4 linked regions of the Canis lupus familiaris genome follow. The main gene of each other region encodes a partner of the protein of the gene in region 2 in a complex. Links are inferred from orthologs where the notes say so. Each region holds a gene or a part of one and is shown on either strand. Other genes may lie near its edges.

Region 1 (7,982 bases), on a different chromosome or scaffold from region 2:
AGCCCGATGTGGGACTTGATCCTGGGTCTCCAGGATCAGGCCCTGGGCTAAAGGTGGTGCTAAACCGCTGAGCCACCGGGGCTGCTTAAATTATTGAGTTTCTTGGCTATGAAACTGCCTGCTGTCGTTTTTAATCTGATTTTACTGATGTTTGGTATTTTTTCTTAGATTTATTAGTTTCTGCTTTTGAAGCTATCACTTTGTACATTTTTCTATTGGGTTGACTTTTTCTCAGATTTGGCAAGGATCTAAATTTATCAATCAACTTGCTGGAGCTTTAAAAATTTTCCTAGTCTTTAAAAAAATTGTTTCATTTTGTTGATGCTATTATTTACTATCTTAACCAATTTCTAGTTTTTTTTTGTTTTTTTTTTACATTCTTTGCAATTCACTTGGTCCAGTGTTAGATTCTTTTTAAAAGAGTTTTAAGTTAGTTAATATACAGTGTAATATTAAGTTTCTGGTGTAGAATCTAGTGATTTAATACTTCCATACATCACCCCGTGCTCATCACAAATATCCTCCTTAATCCCGATTACCCATTCAAAGCATCCTGCCACCCACCTCCTCTCTGGTAACCTTCAATTTGTTCTCTATGGTTAAGAGTGTGTTCCTGGTTTGCCTCTTTTTGTTTCCACCACCACATTCATTTTGTTTCTTAAATTCTACATATGAATGAAATCATATGGTATTTGTCTTTCTCTGACTACTTAGTTTGCTTAGCATATTACATGCTTAGCTCCATCCATATTGTTGCAAATGGCACGATTTCATTTTTTATGGCTGAATAATATTCTATTATAGATAAAGATTCACACCCACCCACCCCATATTTTATTCATCAGTTGATGAGTATTTGGGCTCTTTCTATAATTTGGCTAGTCTGCTATAAACATTGGGGTTCAGTGCTGGATTCTTAATTTTCAGTTAACTTTGAGTTAAATTTATAGACATTTAAGGTCATAAGTTTTCTATTTCTCAAAAGCTTAAGCCCCTAATTCCTTGTCATTAATTCTATGTTTTCTAATTTACATTATGATTTCTTCTTTGATTCTGAAGTTATTTAAAATAAGTACCTGAAAGTTCTTTAAATATATTGTTATTCATGTATTAATTTAAATGCATTTGTGTTTTCTGTAAGCCTAAAGCCTGTTAATCGTCTTGTTAAACCCTAACTTTTTTTGACTGAACTTATTAAATACTTAAAGTATTTTTTTTTTCTTAAAGTATTTAGTGTCAAAATTCTAGTAAAACATTTTGCAGAAGTGTGAAAACTGTCAAAATGTTGGATTGGTTAATTTCTCATTCTAATTGTCAGTTTTTTGAGACTATATCCTTTAGAAACAAGGTTTAGAATATATATATATTTCTGCTCCATTTTTTTTCTTGTATCTTTATGCAATAATTATCTTTATTTTTAATGCTTTCGGCTTTAAGATTCTTCTGACAGATATCAGTATAACTATTCTTCATATATATATGTTTTAATATATATATATTAGTTTCAACCTTTCCATATCCTTATTTTGAAAGTGTTTCTTATAAATAACATATATAAAAAATATAAATAAATAAATAAATAAATAAATAAATAACATATAGAAGGACTTTTAAAAGACAATACCAGCTTCCATCTTTGAACTAGAAAGTCCATTTCCATTTATTTTTAACTATATTGTTTTATGTGTTCCATTACTTTTTTTAAAAGATTTTATTTATTTGAGGAGGCGTGGTACGTGTGCACACATGAGCAGGAGGAAGGAGCAGAGGGAGAGGTACAATCGGACTCCCTGCTGAGTAGGGAGCCCGAAGTAGGGGATCGATCCCTGGTCTCCTGGATCATGACCTGAGCCACCCAGGTGCCTCAATGTTCTATTACTTGTTTCTTATGTGTGTTTATCTTGCCTATTTTTGATTGCATGAATTTTCTTATATTCTTTTATCCTCCACTCATTTGAAAGTTATATATTTTCTATATATTCTATTTCTTTTACATACTTTAGCAAGCATGATTTATTATTTATTTTTTTTAAAAAAGATTTTACTTATTTATTCATGAGAGACATAGAGAGGCAGAGACACAGGCAGAGGGAGAAGCCGACTCCATGCAGGGGGCCTGACATGGGACTTGACCCCATGTCTCCAGGATCACGCCCTGGGCTGAAGGTGGCGCTAAACCTCTGAGCCACCCGGGCTGCCCCAAGCATGCTTTATTTAAAGTTGTTATCTCTGTCTTCATCTCTAACATTCTTTAATTCTGATCATTCACTGTATTATGTTACTTTTATCAAATATTTAGTTTTTACCTTTTAAAATAATCTCCAATTAGTAATTAATACCACTTTATATAGGAAATTCTTGATGAGATTTATTCATGTTTATCAGTGTCTTGAATAGCAATGTTTCTTGCAATTTACTGTGTTTCTGGGTTCAATTTCTTTGACAGCTTCAGTAAGTACTGCTGATAATAGATTTTCATGGTTTTAATCTGAAAATAACTTTATTTCACAATAACTCCTGATTCATCCACCAACTTGTTACTTGACACTTTCTCATAACACTGTGAAGAGCTATCATTCCAATTTTCTGGTTTCTTTTGTTCTTACAGTTGGCTGTCTGATTTTGTTTTGCAAGTAGTCTGGTTTTTCTCTTTGGTGACTCTACAACAATGTGTAGAGATACAGATTTATTGTTTATCCTACTTAAAATTTGTTTTTCTTGAACCTAAGAATTTATGCCTATTCTCAGTTCTGAGTTCATTATCTCTTTCTTGCTCTCTATTCCCTCATTCTGTGGTTCTTTACTCTCAACTCATATTTTCTAACTCTCGATCCCTCTGACTGCTTTCTGGGTGATTTCTTATTCATTAATTCTAATATGCACCTATATCCAGTCTGCTATTTAACATGCCTATTAAGTCTTATAATTTCAATGATTATATTTTCTCATTGCTAGAATTTTTTTTTTTTTAATTTCCTTGGTCCTTTTAGAGTATGCTATTCCTTTTTAAAATTTCCAATTCCTTCTTTTATGCCTTTAACTATCTTAAATATACTTATTTTAAGCTATCTTTACTTGATGGGTTTTATTATCAGAAGCTGTTGTCTAACTTCTGTTGTCTGTTTTGTTTGTCCTATCTGCTGATTCTTTCTTGTGGTGGATTATTAAGTTCAGAAGGTTGACTATCTTCAGACTTTTATCTGTAGGATCCTTGTGTGGCTTAGATTGAACATGTGACCTCAGAAAGCTTTGTATCATCAGACTGAGACATCTGAATTCACCTCTTTAGTTAGGGGGGTTCCTTTACACTGCTGGTAGGATAAATTTAAACTACAGGACTGTGTGACAGCAGACTTGTAGTTATAATTTCCCCAGCTGTCCTTTTTCCTTTTTACTCACACCTCAGGTAGAAATGGGCAAGTTATTTCCTATGCCACTGAGCAAGTCCCTCCTCCCCAATCTGCTCTTCTTTTTATATCTAGTGCAGTGCTTCAAGGGCCCCAGCTTTACTCAAAGGAGACTCAGTTACAAATCTGTGCAGGCTGAAGGTCTTCCCTTCTGTCCTTTTGTGGCTCTTAAACCTAAGTTCCCTGGTTCCCCAAAGTGAGAATCCTCTGCAAGCTTCCCAGCTAGAAGCAACCATATTGGCTCATGCTTTCGTTTTCAGTTCCCTCTTCTTTTGTAAATTTGTACTTCCTTGTGATTTCTAAAACTATTTTATCAGCACTTCTAGGTGTTTCATTGTGGGAAGCCATATTCTGCTATGCCAAAGTCAATCACAATAAATTAATTTCACTCACTTAAAACATTTGAGAAAAGCAGTACCTCATGTGAAACATTTTAAACTTGCCTTGTTTCTGATTTGCAGGCTTCCATATTATCAGGACAGAGATTCCAAAGCCTTGTTAACTCCTCACTACAAAAGAGACACATAAATAAATACATTTTTAATGGACATCATCCTCATATGCCTTAAAGTTGTAAAAATACTTAATTAGTGAATTTTTAGGTGGTGACAAGATGAGTTTTCATTCATTAATTTTTGGTATTATGCAAATTTTCTAGATAGCTATATTAAATGATAACAGTCATTTGTTCTTTCTAAAAATATTCAAGCAAGTATAAAGCAATGAGTAATTAACTGGAAGGTAATAGAACCTGAAGGATCATGGTACCTTGCAGAAATTGAAGTGAGCTCAATCAATCTAACAGTGATTGTATTATCTGTAACATGGAAAAAATGGCACAGACTAGAGCCAAGGATTTGGGAAGCGAGAGACAAAATGGAAGTTTATGTATCTGCATGAATCCAGGTAATGGGCCCTCGAGATTGAGAGTGTGTGATCCATTTTAGTCATCTATGTATGTGCCAAACACAAAAAAACTTGAAAAAACACAGAAACTGGAGAGATCTTACAGTAACATCTTCAAAATATATATATAAAAAAAACCAATACCATCCCACATATGGAAGAGACAGGTTAACCTACTTTCCCATCAGAATCTTTTTGTTGGGTCCTTTCCCTAGAAAGTCCTCTGGTGCCGTTCTCTTTCGAGCTACTCTTGTTGGCTTGGTGTCTGATGTTCTGTGGTGAATAAAACACACTGGAATTACAAATGGAGAGCATACATAACAAGTGTTTAATGTGAAAGAAAATTATTGTTTTTTCCTATAAAAACATAAAAGCTTCCTCTTATTATAGAACACTCATCAGATAGGAGACAAAAATGCCACAACTAGGGGACAAATGGCATTTTTTCAGGAATAATAGATTAATTTGTTCTGGGAACTTAATGACAAGGAATCTGAAAGACGACTAGAAGTAAATCAAAATGGCTATATTCTTATAGAGTTCAGTTTATATGAAATACATACTATCTGTACATAATGCAAAATAATGTCAAACTATATTTTGAAATGCCTTTCTTTTCATAGTGTTTGAGATGAGTATATATTTACCTTTCTTTCACAAAACTTGGGCAGCCTTCATTTTTCCATGAGTTCCAGTTTTCTTCAGTGTTTAATATATGCTGAGAAAAACAAAGAAATTACATTTATATAATGAAGGCCTTTGAAATTCTATTTGGTGCTAAGAAGACTATGTAAATATAAAACACATACCTCTACCATCTTTGAAAATCTTTCTCCATCGGGGGGGTTTTCAGATAGTAGCTGTGATTAGAAAGAATATACTAAGCTTTCAACAACTTTCTGCATCTTAGGAGTGGTTTGTAGGCAGAGGACCAAGAAGTGTTTGTGGTCTTGTACCTGAGCTTAACTTTATCCTTATTTTCCTATTTGGGGCTGAAACAAAGAAAATTCTAAATTTCCATTTTGTTCAATCATGGGTTTGTTGCATGTTGAACTTACTTGATAAACTGATTTTGTAGTATCTTCAATCCAGAGTGATTGCTCATCAGTTAAAACATAGTTTGAACTAGGGAACAAAGCAATAAAAGCATGCTTGAGTTACAGTAATGTATACTCAATTTTAAGGCTTATATACTATCTTATAAAAACCCAAGGCATGTAACAGGTAAGTTAACCATACTGAAAATAGTGTAAAAAATTACTAAGAACAATCACAAGAGGATTATAAGAGAAAATTCTTGCACTTCATTTAAGATGGCTAGAATTGAAGACACGAAGGTATATAAGGGAGGACACTCCATCAAGTTGATTAACTATGAACAGAGCAATGAATGTTTCCTAAAATAAGAAATTTAATGTTGAATGAAAACCTCTGAGAATATTAACCTATTCCTCTCCATGCTGCACATTCAGATAAAGCATGCTACATTCCTTTAAAAGGCAATCAAAACATAATGAATAAAACCCCCTAAATCTTAGTGAAGGTTGAAGGCAGACCCAAAATGTTAATGGGTGCCATTAATTCAGCTCTCACTATGCACCAATATATAGTGATACTTGGTGATCTTATAGTTAGTCAATAAATAGTGATAGACTACTGTGCCAGGAATCTGAGCACTTTAGATGCATTATTAATTCTCAGAACGAGCATGTGTGCTTTATTAAACAGAGATCAGAGATAAAGCTTAAATGCAAACCTAGGTTTGGCTCCAAAGTCCTTGATCTTTCTACCATGCTATATATTAAAACTCAACAATAGAAGGACAAGAAATAACTTTTTTGAGTACTTGCTATGTGTCATCTTAAAATCACAAGTCTGAAAGAGCTTAATTGCACCTAGTGAGTCATGAAAGTGGGATTCAAAGCCAGCAGGTAGTAAAGGCACATTTTTCACACAACTAATAAATCCAACACTGTTTTGCAAACTTAAAATGCCAGTGAGTAATGGTGAACTTCAGTCATGGATAGGACAAGAGGCAGTGGCTTATGTTGCAGATGGAGGTAGCCAGGAAGTAGAGGAACTGATCAGGTTTTCTGAAACCCTAAAGAGACTCGAACTGCTCTGTTCTTCAAAGATTTACTTTACTTTTGAATACTAATGTCCTAGACAGCTCCACACCTTGAAAGAGATTATGGGCTTATTAGTCTTCAAATCAGGTTTGGAGAAGGTCTGGGTGAAGTGAGAGGGGAATGGTGGAAGTCTAGAACAGAGATCCATCCATACAACTGAAGACCCCAGGAACCCCAGTGCTCAACAGGAGAGGCTTACACTGACAGCAGATACAGTCAACACCTTTTCTCTATAACAAGTACCCTAACATCTAGTATCTTTAACAAAAGCTCCTGATTATCCAGTGTTGCTGCAAAAGGAAGGTTTCAGGGATGTGACCCTTATACATTAAATGAGTCTGACACGTAAGAGAAATAGATCAGTAAGTGAGTCTTCTTTTAAAAAGGACTGTTTAGAAATCATTTACTACCCAGATTAACTTACCTTTTGAATTTGACCTGTCCCTTGAGATACTGGAATAAAATGAGATATTGCAACAGGATGTGTCGGCGAAAGTTACTGTCGCTCAGTTGCAAATCCATCAACTAGTTGAAAAACAAGCACACACACACAACACAAAACACATTAAATTCAAATTCTTCCTAAAGGTACAGGTATGCTATTATAGAAATGAAAGATTTTAATAAAATATTCATCACTGAGGGGCTCATTCAATATGAGGCATTACTGCACAAGCCCTAGGACAAGGGAGCAAAGGCTTCAGATATTTTAACCATGAGATATTTATGTTGGCAGATAGCAATGTTAGATCAGTGGTCCTGAAGTCAAGATAAAGCAAAGCAGAAATATACTTAGGTAAAAGTATGGCTGCCACTTTCTCACATATAAAGAAATGATGGCTAGAGAGAGGTCCATATATAGATAACAAGGGATGCTGGTCATTTTTGCAGCCCTACAAAGTGCCTGCAACAGACCTGCGGCTCGGTAATAAGAAATTACAAGTGAAAAACCATCTGTGAATTAAGTGGATTATTTCCTTCTATTTTAAACAATTTTTAAAAAAGATTTTATTTATTTATTCTAGAGAGGCAGAGACACAGGCAGAGGCAGAAGCAGGCTCCATGCGGGGAGCCCAATGCAGGACCCGATCCGGATCCCAGATCTCCGGGATCACACCCCGGGGCTGAAGGTGGCGCTAAACCACCAGGCCACCTGGGCTGCCCTCCTTCTATTTTAGAGAAAATAATATCATACTTGTATTATCACAGAATCTGCATTAGAAAGGACTTGAAGGTCCCTTATGAGGAAGTTTTAAAATAACTATGTCCCTGGATGTTTTCTAAGAATGGCCTCCACTGTGAAGGCAGTCATTCTCATTATATCCCTAGAGCCCTGAAGCAACGCTGAAGTCTTTATCCACAAACGTGTGCTGCTTTGGCCTTCCAGAGCTAAAGCAACAGTGAGAAGCTGCTTATTTTAAACGGATGACCAACTTGCAAGTCACCCGAAAGTCCTAGGAATGGAATGCAGTTGAAGGTCCCAAGTCCCTTTGGCTATGTTTCCATCTATTTAACATTCACTGGCCACTTCCTCCGCCCC
Region 2 (7,982 bases):
TATATCTTAATAAAGCTGTTAAAAAAATATATCACAACTGGACAAAGGAACACAGCAAAATGCTAGATCTTTGGAGGACATTTTCTTTTTCTTGAGGACATTTTAACACTGACAGTTCAAACTGACATCACTCGGAAGACTAAATTAGATTAAGAGATTACATTTAAAATTTATGTCTCTGGGATGCCTAGGGGGCTCAGCGGTTGAGCATCTGCCTTTGACTCAGGGTGTAATTCTGGAGTCCCAGGATCGAGTCCTGCATCGGGCTTCCTGCATGAGGCCTGCTTCTCCGTCTGCCTATGTCTCTGCTTCTCTCCTCTCTGTCTCTTATGAATAAATAAATAAAATCTTTAAAAAAATAAAATAAAAATAAATTTATGTCTCTAAAACTGGACTATGTTCTTTTTAAAAGTAACTTTCTTCCTGATTTATAAGATACATACACTCATTGCAGAAATTTTAAAAACAGAGAAAAGCAAAAAGAAGTCACTCAAAATTCCACCAACCAGAGACAATAAGTATTAACAATTTATACATATTCCTCCAAACTTTTTTTTTTTTTTTTTAAAGTAGGATCCAGGGCCAAGCCAGGGTTTGAACTCAGAACCCCAAGCGCAAGAGTCTCATACTCTACTGACAGAGCCAGCCAGGCACCCCTCAACTTTTTTTATTTTATTTTAATTTTTAAACTCCACACCACGCATGGGGCTCAAACATACAACCATGAGATCAAAAGTCCACGCTCCACCAACTAAGCTAGTCAGGCACTCCCCAAACCTTTTTTTCTATCCATACATGCACTTCTATTACTAAAAGGGAAATACACACTACAATACAGTTTTATACCTGTTTTCACTTAGTATTTTTCTGACAAATATTCTTCAGTATCATTTTAACAACTGTATAGTCTTCTACTACACTATGGTGAACACTTAACAAATTCCCTATTACATATTACATTGTTGCTAGTTACAGATCACTAAACATAATGCTGTGATAATCCTTATGGCTACCTAAGTCTTTAAGCATATCCAACATTATTTCTTTGTAAATTCCTAGAAGGAATTACAAGACTGTTGAGGTAAAAGATACTCTCTTTTCTGTTTCACCTCTTACAGTAGGCAGTATAACACGAGACAGGAACACAATTACATACCAATTTGAGACACCAGAATAAGTAGACAAGGTACTAAAAACTTCTCTAAAGATGTCCAAGAAAAAGAAAAACAAATGTTCACATTTCCTCCTATTCTCTCATACTTCAGCACCTTCTCTAAATTGCCCAGCAAGGCTTAAGTATGGTTTTACCTAAAGCAAAAAGGTGAATGTTATAAGCACTTCAAGTCTTCTCAAGCTAACAAGTTTAGCTTCATTTGAAGAATTGAAATATGTTTTGACAGGAAAGTAAAAATATAAAGAGAACTTTCTTAGAAGAGTCTCTTCTTACCTTTTGATGAAACTGAAGATATCCCAAATCTGTAGGAAAAAAACACATGCTAAATTTTAGGAAGCTATTCACACTCCTGGTTGTCTGTCTCCATGTCAAGTGTACATATGGCACTTCTTGCTTGTGATCTCAAGCCTTGCAATCATTAGCTAATTCTAACAACCCCATGAAAGAGGTTCAGTTTACTTTTTCTCACAGAGAGACCAGAGAAGAAGCGAAAAGGAAACCTTATCAAAATTGAGAGTAACAGTGTTTTCCTGCCTTTTACCTATTAAAAAATCCTGCTTGATGAGACCCATCCAAATCAGCAAAGAAGTTCTGAACAGAGCCAAATGAGTATTTATCAGCAAAGTTTCTATTTTACTTAAAATCAACAATTATATTTAAAACCTAGGATCATGCCCCTCTCCCATCATACTATCACTGTCTCAGATCCAAAAGGCTGGACACTCACCTTGCTGCCCGGGCAGCTTTCTTACTCTCCAAGCTCACAGGTACATTGAATCGTTCAGCTCTCTTCTGCATTCTCTAGGTGATAAAAAGACAAAAGAAGGGAAGAGATGGGATCCCTGGGTGGCGCAGCAGTTTAGCGCCTGCCTTTGGCCTAGGGCGCGATCCTGGAGACCCGGGATCGAATCCCACATCGGGCTCCTGGTGCATGGAGCCTGCTTCTCCCTCTGCCTGTGTCTCTGCCTCTCTCTCTCTCTCTCTGTGACTATCATAAATAAATAAAAATTAAAAAAAAAAAAGGGAAGAGAAAAATTAATTTCTGGTTTTGTGGTGTTTAGAAGTGTGTATCTTTAGAACATCAGGAGTATATTTCATAAGGTCTAAACTGAGAGCACCAACAATCCTAGAGGATATCAGGTTTTATCCATTCAGGGTTTAACTCAACTGCCCTTTCCAGAAAACAAACACAAAAGACTATTATTACACTTATGGCCTCAAAAACAAAAGGAAAGGAATAAAATAAAACCCACATTCTGCACGAAGCCAAGAAGACAAAAGCTGTGTTTGGTTGACCTTTGAAAAGGGATCAAAGGAACAGCTTGGTTCCAACAGTAGTGGTACTCTTTCAGTTAGAAATGAGGCAGCATTGTCCTATGTCATCTCTACTTTAAAGGTACAAAAAACCCAGAGATCTCAACTGGAGCCCAGTTTCAGAGATCTTGACACAAAATCCAGAGAAATTTTAGTCTTACCAGCTATCAAGTAGTGACATCCTCCTAATTACTTTTCATCTCTTCCAATGGATAATCCTACCAAACTCTAATCTAGTTTGTAAACATCTTAGAGTTACCACTAAGGCCTAGGTACTAAATATGAAAAGACTAGGGCTTCAAAAGTGACTATGCCAGCCCAAATATTTTCTCAAGTGCTGACAGTAGAAAAATATATCAATACCAAAATCTGTCAATACTGATTTTCTATTTATGAGTCAGTTTTTCAGTGATTATAAAGGTAGAATAAAAGGTAAGAAACAGAAAGATAGGGATCCCTGGGTGGCTCAGCGGTTTAGCGCCTGCCTTTGGCCCAGGGCGTGATCCTGGAGACCCGGGATCGAGTCCCGCATCAGGCTCCCTGCATGGAGCCTGCTTCTCCCTCTGCCTGTGTCTCTGCCCTCCCCCCCCCCCATGTCTATCATGAATAAATAAATAAGTTAAAAATCTTAAAAAAATAAAATAAGAAAGATACATAGAGACTGCTCTTCTACTAGGGAGCAAAACACCTACCTCAGTCTGTGGTATCTCAGATGTAATTTTTACCACTTTCTTCTCTGTTGCCCTGGAAAAGAAGAAAGAAATTTTTTAAAATGAGGAAACTTGATATTCTAACCCAAAACTTTAGAATATATAAGAATTCATCTGAATCTTGTCCTCTGTCTCATTTCTCTCCATCACCCCTTAATTCAAAAAAAATATGAAGCTCATTAGAACTTCAGTTCATCGAACTGCCATCTATTTAAGAGTTCAAATAGCAGACAAAGCTACTTTACAAAAGTATAAAAAAGGAATTAGGAAAAAAGTCTGGTTAAATATATTGGGCTGAAAGGAAACACTCAAAGGACATTAGAAACCATTTCTTTTACTTTCAGGAACTTTAAATTTACTTCTGGACTAATGACTATTCCTCTAACCCTCATTTAAATGGCAGCTCTCAATTTTCATCACAACGACAATTAACGAGTGCTCTACAAGCTCTGGTTTCCTTCTTTTACAAATCCCTTATTTCTCCCACGGGGACTGTAGCTCCAGCTGGAACAGTCAAAGTGAGACAAATAAAAATGCCAAAGGGAGTGGGAAGAAAAAAGACTAAGGGGAGTTTGAATTAGGAAAACATGGCTAAGTTACTAGTCAAAAGGTTTAAGAGAAAACAAAAGAGGGGGGACCACTGGGGCGGGAGACAAAGTTCGGAAGTACCCAGGATAAATGGAAGGGCATTAACCATCCACCAAACAACTCCCATAAAACTGTGGGTCATAACCAGTCTCATTAAGGTCCCTCATTTAGAGACATGGGCAGCCTTTGTTCCAATATCCCGGACACTTTCCCCATTTGATGCCCTGAAAGGTAGTAATGGTTTAATGGCATTTTCAGAGGAAGCAATTCTGAACAGGAACTTACTCTCTCCATCCTTTTGTTGGAGGTTCTTGGACTGACAGACAAGTAATGGGTGCCCCCTGCTGACCATAACTGCATCCTACAGTACTTAACTGCCCTGGTTTGGGGTAGTGGGGGTTGGGGGTATCAAACTAGAAATAGTAACATATTTCTGGAGAACCTCAAGCCAAAGAGGAAGGAGAATCTCCTAATGAACATTCAAAGTACCTAAGTTAGTCCTCAATATTCTTACTTTAAAGAAATTCCTGAATTCTTACCATTTCCTGGTCATCCACATGTCCCAAAACCTCTCTCGTTCAGACAGAACGGGACACTGAATTTTAAAGTTTTACTTGAAGTCCAATGCCATTAAGAGAACAGTCTTCTCCACCAACCCCCAGCTAATAACTTTCTTCACATTCCTATCTTGAAGCACAATCACTGCAGTATACCTCATGGCAGAAAGGGAACCTCAAAATAGGGTGCTTCTTTCTGCTTTGTTTCAGATACTTTAGGTACAATTAAGCTCAAGCAATTAAATACACATCACATTCTGGAACTCATGGGAAACGTATTCTCTTTACGGAGAAATTTCTATCCTAACCAGTCACAAGACATTCTCCAAACTACAGGGACCCAGAACTTTTCTGAACATACTGCAGTCTAACCACTACCATCACTCTAAAGAGCAAAATCACCCCTGCTAATACACACTTTCAATTTCCTTGTTTAGAAATTCATTAATAAAATCAAATGCTCTGAATAAGAGAATTACACATCTCACATATTCTAAGAATAATGAACTTCTACGAATTTTCAAACTTCATTGTTAACCTACAAAAACCAATTATCATTGTATTCACCTTATCTTCCTTCTTCCTCCAGATGTTCCCCAAAACATTGCTACTTTAAATGTATTCTATAAGCCATTTCCTTAAGGCATTATATCTAAACGTAAACCTCCTATGATGGAAGATAACTAGATGGCTTTAAAAAGCAATATTATTAGGGGTGCCTGGGTAGCTTGGTCAGTTAAGCATCTAAATCTTGATTTGGATTTCAGCTCAGGTCATCATCTCAGAGCTGTGAAATCAACCCCCACATCAGGCTCTGTGCTGGGCATGGAGCCTGCTTAAGATTCTCTCTTTCCTTCTGCCCCTTTCCTCCCACCAAAAGCAGTATTATTAGATAAAATCTAATGAAACATTAAATGTATATCCCCTGTGATGCAGCAAATCCACTGCAGGGAATTTATCGCATGGACACACTTGCATAAGTATAAATATAGCTGCTTAAAGACACGCAGCACTGCATTTTTTGCTATTATGAATTACCTAAATGTCCATCAACAGGAGACTGGTTTGAAATTACTGTTCATCAATAGAATGGAGTACTATTAGCTGCTAGAAGAATAAGGTTCTATGTTGATAACTACTAAATCTGGGTGAGCAGTACATACAGGTCTATTATACTGTTCTCATAACTTGTATATATACTTGCCATTTCCCACAATAGCAAGCTAAAAAAAGAGACCTACCACTTAGAAAGATAATTACACCATTTCATACGGTTGATGTGAGGACTAAATGGGAATACATGCAAAGCACTTAGAATCCTGCCTTGTGGGGATCCCTGGATGGCTCAGCGGTTGAGCACCTGCCTTCCACCCAGGGTGTGATCCTGGAGTCCCCGGATCAAGTCCCACATCAGGCTCCCTTCGTGGAGCCTGCTTCTCCCTCTGCCTGTGTCTCTGCCTCTCTCTCTCTCTGTCTCTGATGAATAAATAAAATCTTAAAAAAAATAATCCTGCCTTGTATATAACATTTTAATAAAAACATTATTATAAGGTAGCCCCAGTGGAGCAGCGGTTTAGTGCCGCCTGCAGCCCGGGGTGTGCTCCTGGGGACCCGGGATCAAGTCCCATGTTGGGCTTCCTGAGTGGAGCCTGCTTCTCCCTCTGCCTGTGTCTCTGCCTCTCTCTGTGTCTCTCATGAATAAATAAATAAAATTAAAAAAAAAAAACAATTATTATATAATGACTATAAAAACACATGAGAATAATCAAGAAACCCACAATATGCCTAGTGTATGTATGTATGTATCTGTACATGCATACATACACAAACTCTCCATATAACATTCTAAAGAAATATATTGAAAACCTCTGGAAAGTCAGATGGGAGTAGAGAGAAGAGGTACATAATTTTCGGTTTATATACTTATCTACATAGTATTTGACTTATCACAAGCACATATATCATTTTTTATAATTAAATGCATAAATACAGCTATGAGGAACAAAAATGTTAAAAAGGATTCAACGGTTATTAATTACTGGATTTGACAGCCCTCAAAAAAGAGGTTTATGATCAACCTGTGGGATAGTTTTTTTTTTTTTTTTTAAGATTTTATTTATTCATGAGAGACACAGAGAGAGAGAGAGAGAGGCAGAGGGAGAAGCAGGCTCCATGCAGGGAGCCCGACGCGGAACTTGATCCCAGGTCTCCAGGATCAGGCCCTGGGCCGAAGGCGGTGCCAAACTGCTGAGCCACTCGGGCTGCCCTGTGGGATAGTTTAAATAAGGTCCACTTTCTACTCTAGTACTTTGTCTTCCCTTCTTCCACTGTAAATCAAAAAGGGAGAGAGAATAAAGTGTTACCTAAAAGACATTATCTCTGCTCAGAACCATCCTCCCTTACAAAATTCCTTATTCACAGGAAAATCTAGATGTTTATACAGAAAAAGAATCATCCATTATGGTCCTACAACAAAGGCTAGAACTAAACTCTGTCTGAGATTGAAGTTTCCTGGTCCTAGTTATCTATTACATAACCCAGAGACAAACCACTTTGCTTCACTGGGACCATGTTCTGAAAATGTATGATCTAATAAAAAATGAAAAAGCCAATGGAAAGGTTTAAGAAGTAAAGAGAGTGAAAGACTAAACCCCTCCAAAACCCAGAACTATCTGCCCTTACTCAGATCATAAAAAAGGGATAGTTACACATCAACAGTTTTCTCAGGAGGTTCTTCCTCTTTGACAGGTAGTTCTATGGGCTTTGGTTCTTCTTCCTAAAACCAAATGAAATAATGGTTAATATAAACCAACAGTAAGTACCCAACAATAAGAGTATTAGAACTCAAAAATGAACCAGTTTTTCAGAACCTTCATTCCCCCCTCTATGCTCCCCTAACAAGTTAGCATTTAAGCCCTCTAATGATTGATGGTAAGCAATGTGGCCAAGGTATCAACATGTTGCCAGGCCAGTGACTAACCTTACTCTCTCCAACTCACCTCTGTTTCATCTCCCAGAACATCTTCTTCATTTGCCTCCTCTTCAGCTAAAGAATATTAAAATATTCAGGTCAAGCCCTGCTAAAAAAAAACCATCTTGATCACTGTACTTAGGCTAAAATTATAATCATTTTGCTTTCCCAAAATAAAATTCAATAGTTGAAGGCAGATCTGATGCTCATAAAATCTGCTCCACATGGAAAAGATAAAGCCGTATTATTCTCTACCTAACATTAATACAAAGTTGAACTCCAGCTGCACTGAAAAACCATAATAAGGTCAAACTATAACATTAATGTTACAGAGAATATCTTTAATATTTAGTGGTGAGGAGGGATTTCTAAAAAAAAAAAAACAAAAAAACAAAAAACACTGCAGGGTAGCCCCAGTGGCCCAGCAGTTTAGTGCCACCTTCAGCCCAGGGCATGATCCTGGAGAACCAGGATCAAGTCCCATGTCAGGCTCCCTGCATGGAGCCTGCTTCTCCCTCTGCCTATGTCTCTGTCTCTCGTGAATAAATAAATAAATAAATCTTAACAAAACAAAACAACAAAACCAAACACTGAAGTAAAAGTTATATATGGGGATCCCTGGATGGCGCAGCGGTTTAGCGCCTGCCTTTGGCCCAGGGCGCGATCTT
Region 3 (7,982 bases), on a different chromosome or scaffold from region 2:
ATTCTATTATATAACCATACCACATTCTATTTATCTATTTTTGTTTGATATATATTATATGCATTTAATTTAGAATATAGACAGTAAGATCAGAGGAAGGAAAAAATTCAATCAAGCGGTAATAGAATATGTAATTTGGAAGATCTGAACCCCTCCTTCTGAAACAAATTATGTACTTCTGTAAAAATGGAATACATAGACTAATATGTAAATATTTATATATAAAGATAGTTCCTTTCAAAGTAAACTCTAAACTTACCTTAATGTCTCATGCCTGTCTGGATGGTGCTGGATCACTTTTGCTAAAGCATCATATTCTGAAAGATATAAAAATATTTAACAAATTAAGGTTTCTTTGAACATGGATATGAAAAAAATGGACACCTGCACCCCATTGTTTATAGCAGCAATGTCTACAATAGCGAAACTGTGGAAGGAGCCTCGGTGTCCATCGAAAGATGAATGGATAAAGAAGCTGTGGTCTGTGTATACAATGGAATATTACTCAGCCAATAGAAATGACAAATACCCACCATTTGCTTTGACATGGATGGAACTGGAGGGTGTTATGCTGAGTGAAGTCAATCGGAGAAGGACAAACATTATATGGTCTCATTCATTTGGGGAATATAAAAAATAGTGAAAGGGATTAAAGGGGAAAGGAGAGAAAATGAGTGGGAAATATCAGTGAGGGTCATGGAACACGAGAGACTCCTAACTCTGGGAAAGGAACAAGGGGTAGTGGAAAGGGAGGTGGGCGGGGGGATGGAGTGACTGGTGACGGGCACTTGATGGGATGAGCACTGGGTATTATGCTATATGTTGGCAAATCAACACCAATAAAAAATATACAAAAAAAAGCTAAATGTCAAAAAATATGGAAAACTATATCATGATTACTGGTTTTGGAAATAAAATGCAGAATGACTATAAAAAAAACCAAAAAACCAAAAACACTGAGGGATGGAAAGAGTACTGCCAATATCACTTGGTTCAACTCTAACTAAAATGGTGCATGATTTCAAAACTGTTCCAAACAAGGACTTTTGCTCCCACTCTATTTTTCCATTGACTTATCCTTAGGCAGGATATAAGAGGCCAGCATAGTATAAGTGAATTTAGGCTATTTATTGATCATTAAGTGCACCGATTCTAAAGAGGATCTTACTATTTGCCCAGCAAAGAAAAGATCTGCAGGGTAAATATATCCTACCATTCATTTCAGATCTTAGCAATAGCAAATTATACTTCTCATTCTCATTCTAAAGGTAAAGACTTCAGCAACTTAGAAACGATTTAAAATTCAGAAATGATAAAATTCCTTTCTTTTCCATTGAGACTTCCAAGTTTCCCTGTTATTTCCTGTTAACCTTGACCTGATGAATGGCAGCATTCATTTAAAAGCCTCAACTAATTGAGAAAAACACTGTGAAACCTTTTCAAATGATTTTAGATTGATAATAATTACCAAATAAGTTGGTAAATCCTGCTGTAAATTGGCCACCAAACTTGACCACTTGTATTTTAGAACAAGTTCAAAACCAAACTTTTTATTTTATTTATTTATTTTTTTTAAAGATTTTATTTATTTATTCATGAGAGACACAGAGAGAGAGAGAGGCAGAGACACAGGCAGAGGGAGAAGCAGGCTCCATGCCGGGAGCCCGACGCGGGACTCGATCCGGGAACTCCAGGATCGGCCCTGAGCCAAAGGCAGGCGCGCCAAACCGCTGAGCCACCCAGGGATCCCCAAAACCAAACTTTTTAAAATAAGGAACCAAAGATCTTAATTGGCTCATTAAAAAGTAAAATTTATTGTTTTGGAAATCAGCATATTAATTCAATAAAAGTGTGATTAAAATTTTTTTTTTTTTTAGATTACAAAATAATACATGATCAGTGCAGGAAAAAAGACCAGATGGTCTTTTTAACCCATAAAAACCCACAGCTCCAAAATAATCTTTAACATTTTCCATTTCCTTCTAGTTTTTCATATATAGGTCACAATTGTGATTATGTATTATTATTATTTTTTTGTATTATATTTTTTAATTTTTTATCTTCCTTTCTTTCCATTTACATTCTAGGAGGAGCAATGTCCTGGCCATTAAAATTATTTTGAAATAGTTTTTATGGACTGCAAGGAGGACATTACCCTAATTAAAAAACAAAAGAGATCAGGACAAAGCTAAATTTTAACCTTTCTCTTATTAGATATTTAGGCAGCTTGCAACTGTTCATTTGTTTTGTACTTAATAAAAACTCACTGAGCTTAAATTCTTTTCTTTTTTCTGGAAAGTAACTCCATGAAACAAACAAATAACAAACATCTAATTTACTTATGTGAATTGCCTTTGCTGATTAGCCATACCATGACTTAGGCAAAGGGGTCTGAAGATAGTTAAAAAAAAAAAAAAAAAAAGAATATTTAAGAAATATTTGGATAATTAGTACAATCCAGAAAAAAAAAAAAAAACAGTTTTTCAGCATAGCCTTCCTCATCCATTTTAAATAATAATACAGTTTTAAAGAATAAGTTTAGCTTCTAATTCTTTTTAATAATGCAGGTTGATTCTTGAAGATTTTACCACACAACATTAAAAACTGCATGAAAATAGTACTCAATAATAAAGTATTTGCACACTAAATCCCACAAAACCCTTACCTTGGCGATTTTTTCGTATTCGCTTTGCTTGAAGAATTTGCTTTTTGCACTCAGCAATTTTTTCATGTGCTCCAGCAATGCTACATTCTATACGAAAAGGTTCTTTTAAAAATAGTTGTAACAACATGTATAATCTTCATCCATTTTCAATTTTAAAATGTGTTAAATTCCATTGCTAATAAAATAGATGCTGGTATTTAAAAAACAGCTATAACCCAAAGTACTGCAATCATACCAGACTACAGTTTTGTAGCTAACATTTACAATGTTCTATTAATATTGTCATTGTTACTATTTTACCACTAACCAAAGAAAAATGTTAGCAGATATTGTCTCCTTTAGACCATAAAAATTAAAATTACATGGAAACATTAATTTACATTTCTTTACCTATTTCTTTGTAAATTTTTTCATAATTTTCCATTTCTCTGAGATTCATATCATATACCAGCAAAGTTTTGCCCATTGAAAATTCACATTGGGACAGTGTGCTCAGCATACGTTGGTACTGGCTGTATCTAATGAAAAAGAGAAACAGAATGAAGATTTTTTGTGAAATACCAAAGTTGAACCATTCTAGTACAGGCAAAGATTTACCAATTAAATCCTATCAAGTTCTGAATCATTTGCTTTATTTAAAATAATTTAGAATATCTTTCATTTATGTTTAATTTTTCCTAATGTGGTGTACTTGAATTTATAAACTGCTTTAATTACAAGTGCAAAGATAGGCCTGCTGTTCTTACCAATATAAGTTTAAAATACTTTTTAAAAATTTATTTATTTTTAACTTTTTAAAGGGAGAAGCAGACTCCCCCCAGGGAACCCAACATGGGACTCGATCCTAGGACTCCAGGATCACGACCTGAGCCAAAGGCAGATGCTCAACCACTGAGCCACCCCGGTGTCCCACTTTTTAAAATCTTTTAATCAAGATAATTTCTTATTCTCACAATTTTTTCACTCTTTATAATGATTTATGTGAAAAGCTAATTCAAGTGAGGGAAATTTTTCTAAGGCAAAAAGAGTTATTAAATATATATAAAATCTTGCAACTTTTTATTAGCTTATTTAAAAAAGAGAAAATTGAGGCACCTGGCTGGCTCAGTTGGTAGCGCAGGCAACTCTTGATCTCAGAGTTGTGAGTTCAAGCCCCACATTGAGCCTAGAGCTTACTTAAGAAAAAAAAAAAAAAACCTGAAAAGAGAAAATTTCATTTAGATATTTTATTTAACTAAATGTTTCTCTGCTAAAAGTGACCAGCTTAATGAGCCAGAATTTAATGCTTGTTTCTTACCACTACACTTTCTGCACATTTTAATAAAGATAAAGCAGGCCTCTGAAGAGAAATAAAGGCTAGAAAAATCTATACTTGGATGAACCCAGAGTTGCCTCCACTGGACATTGAAGGTGAGTGAAAATCTGAAATATTGACAGGCCCGTCTATTGGTTTAAACTCTCATCAGGACATTGGTATAGAAACAACAGTGAGATGAATTACCCCTCTTCCTGGGACCCGGAGTTGCACCATTTAATGAAACTTTTCACTAGCAGATTGATTCTTCGATCATCTCCGGCACCATCTCCATCAATTAAGAGACGCTTCCGTATGACTTCGTCTGGAGGGAAGAACAATGTGAATTAAAATGATGGTCTGGCTCTTGTTAACTTTCAGGGACAAATAACCAATATCACAACTTATTCATTTATCTAAAAGAAAACCACTGAGATGCAAATATACTTCATGCCACTACACTGTTCACTTAAGATGGCTAAGATGGCAAATTTTAGGTCATGTAGGTTTTATTACAATTTATGTATATGTTTTTATGTCACTATAAAGACAGTTATTGAGTGTCTATTGTGTGCCAGGCAGTGTACTAGGGATCAGGGTTATCACCTGTGCTCACAGAACTGGAAATCTTCTGCTGGGGTGCTGAGTAGAAATAGTTTTCAGGTAACATCAAGGAAGTAAGACTATGGTTCTTGGAGAACTTTTGGAAAAACATGTTCACACAGAAGGAAGGCTGAACTGTTCCTGTCTCTGACTAGTGTGAGGTAGTGGTAAAAGGCACAGAAAGAAAACATGTGAAAGAGGTAGTGGCAGATTGGGTGAAAATAATGAGAGATGGGTCAGAGAAATGGGAATGGATTTGTAGGAAAAAAAGAGTAATTTAGTTATTACATCTGTGATGTTTCTTTCCCCATGAAGACTTTTTTTTTTTTTTTAAACATGTTTGTCTCACTTTGCTCCAAGGGAAAGAAAAAGAAAATGAAATCAAAGGGCATATAATAACAATGAGTAATAAGTGGAGCTCCAATCTGCCTGTCTGGCAGCCCTGAGCTAGTGTTCTTGCTGGACAAAATAATGCTGGATCATGACAAGAGAAAGGGCATACTGAAACCCAAGAAAACATAATTTTTAAAAAAGATTTATTTATTTACGTTAGAGAGAGAGAGAGAGAGAGCTAGAGCATGCCGGGAAAGGGGCAGGAGAGAATCCCCAAGCCAACTCCTCCACTAAGCAGCTAGCTCACATGACTTGAACCAAAACCAAGAGTTGGAGGCTTAACCAACTGAGCCACCTAGGTACCCCAAACATAATTTTCATCTATCAGTTTGGCAAAGATCAAAATACCCAATAAAAAGCATTCACAAGGATACTGAGAGAAACAGCACTTACACTGATGAGATGTAAACTGGTATGCTCTTTGTGGGGCAAATGGGCTATAACAAACAATATTTAAAAGGCACATATCTTTTTTTTGACCCCAGAGCTCCAATTCTAGGAATTCGTCCCATAGATAACATGTGTACCCAACCACAAAGATAAATGTAAAGGGATGTTCTTAGTGCTGTTTGTAGTAGGAAGACTGCAAACCTAAACATGTACCAATAAGAGACTGGTTAAGTTATGAAAACTTCATATAATGTAATATTATGCAGCCAATAGTGTAGATGTATACACTGCTGCCAAAAAATCTCCTTTGGTACATGAAGTGAAATGAAAACAAAACAGGTGCAGAGAAGCACACAGTTTGCTGCCATTTGTATAGAAAAGGAGGAGGCTTTGTGTATGTATGTGGATGCACATGTGCACATCACACATGTATGTGTGTACTCAGAATATCTTTGGAAGGAACACAAAAAACTGGTGATAGTGGTTTCTTCTGGTGAGAGGGACTACAGAGAGGATGAGAAAAAATTTAATTTTCTGTATCGTTTCACCAAATTGTGTTTGCTTTTCACCACGTGCATGCATTATTTTTTTTTAAATGAATTTTAAAGTGTGAATAATTCCTGGAGAGCCTGCATGATGAATCAACAGCAAAATCTTTAAACAATAGTTCCTGTGCGTAGGCAGAAGTATTTTTGAGTGCAGGTGCAGTGGAGATAAACTTTTGGAAGGCAGGTGGCTGCAGTTTTAAAATCTGTTCTGTGACATCAGATAAACATTTTTAGAATTGGGTTTTGTTCTCAGAGTCATGGCTTTGACAGGCAGCTCAAGTTATCGATTCATCACTTATTTTAATTTTACACTTTTAAAATACAAACTAATACTTTCAGTTTTTGACCACCAACAATGTTATTTGAGGAGCCTGAGACAAAACAGTTCTCAAAGAGATTAAAATGCAGAAAATGAATTTTTTTTATTACACATATGCTTTAACTTTGTTAAAAGTAAATCTCCAGCAGGTGAGCAGTCTGATGTTTGACACTGTTCAATTCCTTTCTTTTGTTCAATTTCTCGTTTTCTTATCTTTGCTCTCCCATACCCCACCCCTGAACAAACCCCATCTTCCTCCCAGATACCTGGGCATCCTACTCTATTGAGGACCAGGGATAATAGGGAACAGCAAAATTGGAGAATAAATACCCTAAGGGGGAAACTACTACCACTGCTGGTTTTTCAAGAGCTTTTTAAGTTTTGGTGACTAACTAAAAATGTTTCAAGCACATTTTGCGATCATTCCAGCTGCATATTTAAGATCTGTGTACTTTGGGAATCCCTGGGTGGCTCAGCGGTTTAGCGCCTGCCTTCGGCCCAGGGTGTGATCCTGGAGTCCCGGGATCGAGTCCCACGTCAAGCTCCCTGCATGGAGCCTGCTTCTCCCTCTGCCTGTGTCTCTGCTGTCTCTCATGAGTAAATAAATAAAGTATTTAAAAAAATATCTATGTACTTTTATATATGCAATATCCCAATTATAAAAGTTTTTGAAAAGTGTTTAGAACACTGTACAGGCCAAATAACCTTGGGGAAAAGGTTCATGAGGACCTTATGTCTTATTCATTCTGTTTCCTCTCCAACCTTTCACATGGGTCTTTACACTTCTGGTGGTCAATAAATATTTTTAAATTAGACTTGTGGTGCCTGCCTGGGACTATTTGCCCTCCACAGAGCTTTCTCTCTCTCTTTCTTTCTCCAAAGACTTTATTTATTTATTCATGAGAGACACAGAGAGAGAGGCAGAGAGAGAGAAGCAGGCTCCATGCAAGGGGCCCGACATGGGACTTGATCCCAGGTCTCCAGGATCACGCCCTGGGCTGAAGGCAGTGCTAAACCACTGAGCCACCTGGGCTGCCCAGAGCTTTGTTTCAATAAAACACTAACAAGGACCAGCAGGCAACTATCTTATTTTCAGGTCCGAAGCAGAGATTTCTCTTCTTGTACAAAAGACATGAATACTTGATCCATGAGCACATGTGTCCATAGGGTACTGGAGTGGTTCTGAGGATGTGAGATAAAGACCTGAACTCTTTCGCTCTGGGTAGAGAAATAACATGTATATGAACACACATGCAGAGGAGGCTAGCATTGTTGAGTGAGTGATGCAGAAATGCACCAAAAGAGATTAGGAGGACAGCAACTTTTGGCTTGGGGGAATCAGGGCAAGTGCAATTTGGGCGCTCATTTCATACTTAAAAATCATCAATCAATGGGGTGCCTGGGTGACTTGTTGGTTAAGCATCTGACTCCTGGTTTTCTGTTCAGGTCCTGATCTCAGGGTCATGTGATTGAACCCTATGTTGGACTCTGCACAGAGTCTGCTTGTCCCTTTCCTTCTGCTCCCCCTCTCCTCACGTTTCCCCCCCCCTCAAATAAATAAAAATAGAATAACATCTTTACAAAAATCATCAATCAAGAAATCTATAAAGTATTTTAACAACATCTACCTAAACTTCAAAGAACATATACCCTTTGGCCCAACAATTCTAGATAAGCTTGCCTGTATGCAATATGACTATGTCCATGAACCAGGCACTATATAAATTTTGGTACAAGAATATCATGGAATACTATGAAGCCATAAAGAAA
Region 4 (8,647 bases), on a different chromosome or scaffold from region 2:
TGCTTCTCCTTCTGCCTGTGTCTGCCTCTCTCTCTCTCTCTCTGTGTCTCTCATGAATAAATAAATATAAAAAAAATTTTTTTTTAAAGAAAGGAATTCTTCCTGTGGACAATACCTTCCAAGTCCATGTCCCAGAGTTCCAGCCTGCCCGTTCTGTTGGTATGCTGTGTGGATTTTAGGCCTGCCTGGCTAACACCCACAGTTTTGTAAGCCGATTCCTTCCAATAAGTCTCTTAATATGTATCTTCTACAAGTTTGCTTCTCTGTTTGAACCCTGATTGATACACACCTACACGGTGATGCTTTGCTTGGAGTGACAGGCTCCTTCCTGTTTTCTTTACATTAGCTCTCCAAAGTCCTACAGGATCAAAAGACTTCTACTTCCAGCCTCCCTCTTTCTTTTCTACTCTTCCTTCACTGCAGGATGTCTCCCTTCCCCCTGAAAATTCCCTCTATACAGCCTCACATCTCTGGTGTTATTATTTATGTCCTGATTCTGCCCTGAGTGACCCTAAAAATCCTAATTACACCGATATATAAAAATATTCTTTGGAGTTTGAGCATTTGAGCAAAAATCAGCCCCTGAAAGAGAATTTCTGGTGACAAAGGGGGTATAATAATAGATCAACTATAGTCTTCAAAAAATGTGAATATCCCAATAGTTACAGAAATGCTGAGGGATTTTTATAGATTCAAGGACACTAAGGAGACATGATAACTTAATACAGTATCAGATCCTAGACTAGATCCTGAACTGGAGAAATGCTCTAAAGGATATTACTGGCTAAATTGACATAATTGAAATATAGACAGTAGATTAAATTCTTTGTTACTAACCATTACCAGAGATGATAACTATATTGGGGATAGGAAACAAAATATCCTTGTTCTTAGGAAATATTCACTGAAAAATTTATGGGTAAAGTATAATAATATATGCAACTTATTCCCAAACATTTAGGTGAAATATATGTATATGTATATGCATATGTATATGGAAAACAAATGAAACAAAATGCTGAAACTAGATAATCTGGGTAGTAGGTCTAATAGCATTCTTACTATATTGCAACTTTTCTGTACATTTGATTTTTTTTTCCAAATATAAGTCTTTAAAAAAATGGCCCATGCCTCTCTGTTCCCTGAATTTTATCTCTCCTTTGAGATTCTCTGGCTTCAGTCACATAGCCCCCACACATATACTATTCTAACTTCAAAACAGTTGTATCAGATTCTGTCTCAGTGAAAAGCAGAAGGATACACTTATCTAACATTTGTGTTTACAGAATATAGAAAAAGAGCACAAGGGAAAGTGAAATAAAAAACACACATGATGTTCAAAAATACAAAGTTAATATAGAAACACAAAGAATTATGTTCATAACATGGAGATTTCAGGTACTGAGAATCAGAGTGTAGATTTTGGAGTCGTAACAGCTGAGTTCTAATCTTTGCTCTGTCCAATAGCAGCCATGTGATCTGGAGCAGAACATTTTGCCTCTTTGTTCTTTAGTTTCCTTACCTGGAACCTGGAGATAGAAATCCTCTGTGTATGGAGGAAAAAAGAAAAAGCAAGCATATGAAGTCAGTTCCTGAAAATAAAAGTTTAAGGAGAGAAAACTAAACACCAAACAGTCTCCTAACCTAAGATTTTAATGAGCTTCATTGGTATTTTCTGGAGTCTAAAAAGCTTTGAAGTCTACAAGGATTTGTGATTGTAGTGGGGTAGAGAAGGAAATTGGGGAAAGAGAAGGGCCTCACTTACTAAGGCTTTTCTCAGAGCTATGTGCTTTACATGTGTGTGTATTTATTTATTTATTTATTTATTTATTTATTTATTTATGATTTTATTTATTTATTCATGAGAGACACAGAGAGAGAGGCAGAGACATAGGCAGAGAGAGAACCAGGCTCCCTGCAGGAGCCCGATGTGGGACTTGATCCCGGACTGAGGAACCATGCCCTGAGTCAAAGGCTTCACCCAACCACTGAATCACCGAGGCATCCCCTCTATTCCCTTTTGTATTTTCTACATTTGTTACCAAGTGCCATATTACCTTTAAAAAATTTTTTTAAAGTTGTCTTCACACCCAGTGTGGAGCCCAACGAGGGGCTTGACCCTGAGATCAAGACCTGAGCTGAGATCAAGAGTTGGATACTTTTAACGGACTGAGCCACCCAGGGGCTGCCCCTAAAATTTGTTTTTAAACAAATTTCCACCCACCGGCTTAACACCAAAACCCTCCCCGAGGCCACAGTCCTTCTCCAGGGCCTTGGTTGGCTCTGGCAGCTCATTAGTTGTTTCTTCAGCAGGAAACTGCTGGACTTGTGCTTTATTTATTTATTTTTTTTAAATTTTTATTTATTTATGATAGTCACAGAGAGAGAGAGAGAGAGAGAGAGAGAGAGGCAGAGACACAGGCAGAGGGAGAAGCAGGCTCCATGCACCGGGAGCCTGACGTGGGATTCGATCCCGGGTCTCCAGGATCGCGCCCTGGGCCAAAGGCAGGCGCTAAACCACTGCGCCACCCAGGGATCCCTGGACTTGTGCTTTAAAGTAGGGATCAGAGGGTGGGAATAATCCAAGGAGGGGAGGTGACACAGGTGGACATTTACTTTTTACTCTGTATCTTTTATGTTTTTGTATATATAATCATGTGCATGTAGTGTTGTGGCATCATTGAGCATGATGGTCACGAAAGAATTTTTGAGATGTTTTATGGTATAACAGTAAGTTTATTTAAGTGGCATGGGGTTAGGGCTTAAGGGCAGAAGGATCTGCACTCCTGCTGTATGAAGTTAGTAGTTGATGGGCCGGCTGGGAAACCGGGGCTCCAAAAAGGCGGATCACCCCCCCCCCCAACCCTCTCCAAGACCGCGGACTTTCCCCGCCCTCTTCACTGCGGCCTCCACGTCACCATCAGGAAACTGAAACTTTCCACCCAGGAACTTCCCAATTGGGAAAACCTTGCCCGAGGGTGCTTGCAATAAAGTTCATTTCTCGGATCCACCGGCCTCGTAGCCTCTTTTCTTACCACCGCCAGCGGGAGCAACTTTACAGTAGTTACATGCTTAGTGCTCAAGGGCGTCAGGATGTGCAGGGAGTATTAGGTCATATGTCTTTTCTTCAAATTTCTACTCATAAAACTATTTTCAAAAGAGTTCTCTGGTGCTTATCATTCATCTTGATATTAAGTATTCGTGAGATATACAGGCAGTCATGAGACCCTTTAAGAATATAGCAATCAGGGATCCCTGGGTGGCGCAGCGGTTTAGCGCCTGCCTTTGGCCCAGGGTGCGATCCTGGAGACCTGGGATTGACTCCCACGTCGGGCTCCCGGTGTATGGAGCCTGCTATCATAAATAACTAAAAAAAAAGAATGTAGCAATCAGTATGTATTTCATCCTCATCAGAACTATGCAGGCTACAGACTAGCCTTTTGGACTAGAGGTGAACATTTTCCTGCTTCTATCCTCCATCAATAGTACTTTTAAAAATCGGAGAATTTGTTTATTTAAAGACATACCCAGGCCCCTTCCCAACCCCTTCCCTCCCTGCTCTGGACCCCTAAAAACCTCTAGTTTACCAGCTGGTCCTTCTCCAGCCAGAGTCGGAGGCCTTCTGCTCTTAAGGGAGGGGATTGAGGGGTGGAGAATCTACTGTTTTTTATTGATGGGGAATTGAGGTTTGGAGGGATAACGTTGGCTTTTTTATTTTATTTATTTATTTTTAAAGGATTTTATTCATTTATTCATGAGACACACACACACACAGAGAGAGAGGCAGAGACACAGGCAGAGGGAGAAGCAGGCTCCATGCAGGGAGCCCGACGCGGAACTCGATCCCGGGCCTCCAGGATCACGCCCTGGGCCAAAGGCAGGCGCCAAACCGCTGAGCCACCCATGGATCCCTGGCTTTCTTTTTCAATTAAACAGGGATACAAATATATCTACCAGGCAGTAGATAAGGGGGAAATAGGCCCTCAAAAGCTCAGAATCACTATGATGGAAACTTAAATCCTAATCATTACTATTTGAAAAGGGGTAGCGCGCTGCATGCCGGGATTTGTAGTCCCCTCCCGGATGGCCCGCACTGCGGCTGTGCAGGGGCGTTCTCCAGGCGCATGCGTGCAGCGGCGGCGGCAGGCCTGACTGCACCAAAGCGGCGGTAGAGACGCGGGCTACTGGGAGCTCGCCATGGCGGTCCCTGCGGCGGCCATGGGGCCCTCGGCGCTGGGCCAGAGTGGTCCTGGCTCAATGGCTCCCTGGTGCTCAGTGACCAGTGGCCCAACACGCTACGTGCTGGGAATGCAGGAGCTGTTCCGCGGCCACAGCAAGACGCGCGAATTCCCTGCACACAGCGCCAAGGTGCACTCGGTGGCTTGGAGCTGCGACGGGCGTCGCCTGGCCTCGGGGTCTTTCGACAAGACGGCCAGCGTTTTCCTACTGGAGAAGGACCGGTTGGTAAGCTGACCGGTCCAGGCCAGAGAGAGAGGGGCTGTGGTAGAGCGAGGTGTGGTGTTGAGGGCGAGAGTGGGAGTGGAAAGGGGGGTGGAGGCGAGGGGAGAGGAGGGGTGTGGGGCTAAGGGGGATATGTAGTGCTGGAGTGACCAGAGTGGTGCTTGGGGATCTGGGGGCTGTGGTGGAGAGGAAGATGGTGGTGGTAAAAGGGAGGTGAGGGTGCGAGGGAGTGTGGCAGTAAAGGAGCTGTGAAGATGAGCGGGGAGTAGGCTAGGACAGGATGAAGACTGGTGGTGGACGGGACTGGAGTGAGGTGAGGGTGTGTGAGAGTGATGGAAGGAGTTGTGTGGTGGTGAGGAGTGGCTAGGGTCTGTGGTGGTGGTGGGGTCCCCATGAGGGTGTAATGGGCCCCTTTGAAAATAATAGGGCTTCCTGTGGGAGTGAGCAAGAAAATCGGGAACGTCGGTGGTAGAGTAAGTGTGGAGAACCAGAAAGAAGGAGGAAGTCCAGGGAAGGCAAAAGTGTAAGGGCATTCATGTGGAATCCAAACCTCAGAACAATTCAGAATGATTGGAAAGGAAGAGAAGGGGATATTGGGAAGAATTTTGGGGAAGGGACTTGGAAGGACTGGTTTCTTTTAAATTGTCTTTGTTAGACATAAGGTGCCTTGGTTTAAATAAAGCTGAGAAGTTACATGTGGAGGCAGGTACTTAAGTGTAAGGTGACATGTGGATTCTGTTCTTTCAGGTCAAAGAAAACAATTATCGGGGACATGGGGATAGTGTGGACCAGCTTTGTTGGCATCCAAGTAATCCTGACCTCTTTGTCACCGCATCGGGAGACAAAACCATTCGCATCTGGGACGTGAGGACTACAAAATGCATTGCCACCGTGAACACTAAAGGTGACTCTTCAGAGAGAGGGCAATAGGAAGATGAGCTACTTTTAGTAATTTAATTCAACAAGCATTTCCTGAATATCTTCTCTGTGTTTCGCCCTGTGTTAGGTATGGGACATCCTGGGCTGAATATGACAATCTCCAGCTCCTAGGGCCTAAAACCCTAATATAGTTCATGTTACACTGGAGATGTCTACAAGATGGATATCTAGAATGGAAGTGCTTAGTCTGCCTGTGGAGACAAGCAAGATCTCACAAAATTTGAGCAAACTCTTAGAATAGCTAATAGGGATTTAGTGGTCCGGGGTCCAGTGGGTGAGTGAGGAGTGAGCGGCAGCTCTAGGAGGGAGCTGCATGTGCAGATGTATGGAGAATTTGGGAAACTCCTGCTAGGCTAGAATGGCTGATCTTGGAATGAATAGTTTTGGTGGTCTGGGAGAAAATGACCTGGGGGTTGTGCAGTACATTTGTAGAATCTATTCTCTACCAGGTATTATCCTATAAACCTTGAGGCCACTTATATTTTATCGACTAACGTCACAGATTATAAGGTGTACCGATGTTTTATGTGTTGTTAAGAAAGAAAAGTTTCTAGATAACCATGATCCACCAAAACTTTTGAGATGCATCTTGATGCATTTTAAGATACGTTGTAAAGAATTAAGTGTGAAAATATATGCATCATAGAATTGATAAAGTTGATGAAATTTTTAATCGATGTGTTCACTGTGGGCCATTGGGCTTTGTTGACAAGTCTTGTCTGTAGAGGTGGAATGTTACAGTGCTTTCTCCAAGTAGACAACTGGTGATGCATGAATGATTTAGGTGGTATGTAGATGAACATTAAAAGTCGGCTGTGTGTTTATTTTAATGCCTACCAGGAAAAAAGAACTAGCCCATAAAATTTATTACTAAATGGAAACTAAATTTATTTAACTAAAAATTTTTTAAGTTAATTTTAAGAAAAATCTTGAATAAAGAAATATAGCTGTTAACGTGGATAGAACAAAATTGTGAAAGTGGCATATAAATGACCAGAGTTTTGGGAATGCTGGTCTGAGAAGCAGAGGCTTTGGGGACACCTGGGTGGCTCAGTGGTTGGGCATTTGCCTTTGGCTTGGGTTGTGATCCCGGGGTCCTGGGAGGGAGCCTGCTTCTCCCTCTGCCTATGTCTCTGCCTCTCTCTCTGTGTCTCTCATGAATAAATAAGTAAATCTTAAATAAAAAAAGAATCAGAGGCATTGGAGTCAAATCTAGTTTAGATCTTGGCTCTTTTATTTCACTGCTTTGACAGTTTGGCTCATCTCTCATATCTTCCATATCTTCATATGTAGAATGGGGATAATAAAGTGTTCTTTAGAGAATTATAGTGAGGACCCACAGGGGGAAATTTGTAGATGAATATTCTGGACTTATAATTGGTGAGTAAGTGGTCATTCCTTCTATTTTATTTTTTTTAAGATCTTATTTATTCATTCATGAGAAACACAGAGAGAGAGAGAGAGAGGGAGGCAGAGACACAGGCAGAGGGAGAAGAGAAGCAGGCCCCATGCAGAGAGCCTGATGTGGGACTCCATCCGGGGTCTCCAGGATCACACCCTGGGCTGAAGGTGGCAATAAACCGCTGAGCCACCCGGCACCCGGGCTGCCCATTCCCTTCTATTGGTTCGGACCTTAGTGAATGGAATTTGGAGATAATAGCTCTGGTCTTTGTCAGATTAAAAAAAAATAAACTTCTGCAGGATTTTGGGCTAACAATATCTTCCTGATTATATCTGGGTTTCTAGGGGAGAATATAAATATCTGCTGGAGTCCTGATGGGCAGACCATAGCTGTAGGCAACAAGGATGATGTGGTGACCTTTATTGATGCCAAGACACACCGTTCTAAGGCGGAAGAGCAGTTCAAGTTTGAAGTAAATGAAATCTCCTGGAATAATGACAATAACATGTTCTTCCTGACAAATGGCAATGGTTGTATCAACATCCTCAGGTGAGGGGGTTGTAGTTTAGGGACTGTCATATCTTTGCCCTGGGTGCTGTGTTAGATACAGAGATGAATTAGATGTGCTGAAGGAGCTTAAAGGACACATGGTAATAAAGAATCCTAACCTCCGTTGAGCAACTTTGAGCCAGACACCTTATATTTACTGAGTCCTATTAACTAGGGATCCCTGGGTGGCGCAGCGGTTTGGCGCCTGCCTTTGGCCCAGGGCGCGATCCTGGAGACCCGGGATCGAATCCCACATCGGGCTCCCGGTGCATGGAGCCTGCTTCTCCCTCTGCCTGCGTCTCTGCCTCTCCCTCTCTCTCTCTCTCTCTCTGTGACTATCATAAATAAATAAAAATTATTTACTGAGTCCTTAGAGAAATTTTATGCGGTTGATAGTATGAGTCTTATTTGACAGATGAGGATCTGGGATCCAGAGAGGTTAAATCACTAGTCAACTAGTGAGCACTGGAAGTAGGTGCACCTTGAATTATGGCTAATTTGTACCCGTAAAGTCTCTCCTTAAATATCACTTTCTCTCCAGGGAAGCCATCTTCATCAGTTTCCTACCTTTCCAGGTTAGAAGCTTATTTTATGTACTTCCTGTTGGAAGCATTTCTCATTCTATATTATAATTACATGTTTATTTACCTATATCTTCCACTAGACTCTAAATTCCATGAATGTAGGGACCACATATTACTTTGAATCCCTAGTGCCTACTTTAATACCTGGTACACAGAGTTAGGATCTCAGTAAATATTCTGTAAATGAATGGAGTGTTGGAATTGAAATTCAGGTCTGTGGGCTCTATTCTTTCTGCTATTCTCTATGGGCCGTGCAAGGCAGTGTAAAATAGGTTCTTGAAGAGAGGCTGAGAGTTTGCTGTGGCATCCCAGGAAAGAAACTTAGATTGACTGTGGGAGTTGAGGATTGAAGGAGGCAGCTTCTGAGCTTGACCTTGAAAGCTGAGTAGAATTTAAAGAATCAGCACAAGGCAGTCATACAATGGACAAAACAGGTGTGAATAAGCGTATTCTATATGGAAAGTAGTTGGTAGGTCAAAATTGCTGGGAATGGATGATAAGGTATCTGAAGAGAGGGCCTGAAAATGGGAAGATAAAGTTGAAGTATAATCTGGGACCAGATTATAAAAGGCTGGAATTCTGTGCTTAGCAACTTGAATTTTATTCAAGTGGGGATTCTTTAGTTTTTTTTAAAAGCCTTTTTATTAGAAAATAAAACATATACAGAAAGCCACTTAAAACAACTTATGCCTTAATGAACTGTTATCTGTGT

What was found.
Region 1: SARNP (region 2) and THOC1 share a complex: the UniProt entries of both Homo sapiens proteins name them as parts of the transcription/export (TREX) complex. The link is inferred for Canis lupus familiaris from reciprocal best matches to the Homo sapiens genes SARNP and THOC1.
Region 3: SARNP (region 2) and THOC7 share a complex: the UniProt entries of both Homo sapiens proteins name them as parts of the transcription/export (TREX) complex. The link is inferred for Canis lupus familiaris from reciprocal best matches to the Homo sapiens genes SARNP and THOC7.
Region 4: SARNP (region 2) and THOC3 share a complex: the UniProt entries of both Homo sapiens proteins name them as parts of the transcription/export (TREX) complex. The link is inferred for Canis lupus familiaris from reciprocal best matches to the Homo sapiens genes SARNP and THOC3.

Annotation. Positions count from the first base shown.
Region 1 is NC_049228.1:67,145,310-67,153,291, forward strand, and holds part of THOC1 (THO complex subunit 1), read right to left. Parts: intron 6,968-7,982; coding exon 6,867-6,967; intron 5,439-6,866; coding exon 5,372-5,438; intron 5,174-5,371; coding exon 5,123-5,173; intron 5,032-5,122; coding exon 4,961-5,031; intron 4,587-4,960; coding exon 4,491-4,586; intron 3,917-4,490; coding exon 3,851-3,916; intron 1-3,850. UniProt on the Homo sapiens protein: Component of the THO subcomplex of the TREX complex which is thought to couple mRNA transcription, processing and nuclear export, and which specifically associates with spliced mRNA and not with unspliced pre-mRNA.
Region 2 is NC_049231.1:533,000-540,981, forward strand, and holds part of SARNP (SAP domain-containing ribonucleoprotein), read right to left. Parts: intron 7,390-7,982; coding exon 7,343-7,389; intron 7,120-7,342; coding exon 7,052-7,119; intron 3,233-7,051; coding exon 3,181-3,232; intron 1,976-3,180; coding exon 1,902-1,975; intron 1,477-1,901; coding exon 1,448-1,476; intron 1-1,447. UniProt on the Homo sapiens protein: Binds both single-stranded and double-stranded DNA with higher affinity for the single-stranded form. Specifically binds to scaffold/matrix attachment region DNA. Also binds single-stranded RNA. Enhances RNA unwinding activity of DDX39A.
Region 3 is NC_049241.1:27,567,875-27,575,856, reverse strand, and holds part of THOC7 (THO complex subunit 7 homolog), read right to left. Parts: intron 4,285-7,982; 5' UTR 4,167-4,284; intron 3,184-4,166; 5' UTR 3,165-3,183; coding exon 3,056-3,164; intron 2,841-3,055; exon of another isoform or gene 2,793-2,840; coding exon of another isoform or gene 2,768-2,792; coding exon 2,666-2,767; intron 318-2,665; coding exon 260-317; intron 1-259. UniProt on the Homo sapiens protein: Component of the THO subcomplex of the TREX complex which is thought to couple mRNA transcription, processing and nuclear export, and which specifically associates with spliced mRNA and not with unspliced pre-mRNA.
Region 4 is NC_049225.1:38,016,315-38,024,961, forward strand, and holds the start of THOC3 (THO complex subunit 3), read left to right. Parts: upstream 1-4,125; 5' UTR 4,126-4,197; coding exon 4,198-4,464; intron 4,465-5,208; coding exon 5,209-5,365; intron 5,366-7,146; coding exon 7,147-7,351; intron 7,352-8,647. UniProt on the Homo sapiens protein: Component of the THO subcomplex of the TREX complex which is thought to couple mRNA transcription, processing and nuclear export, and which specifically associates with spliced mRNA and not with unspliced pre-mRNA.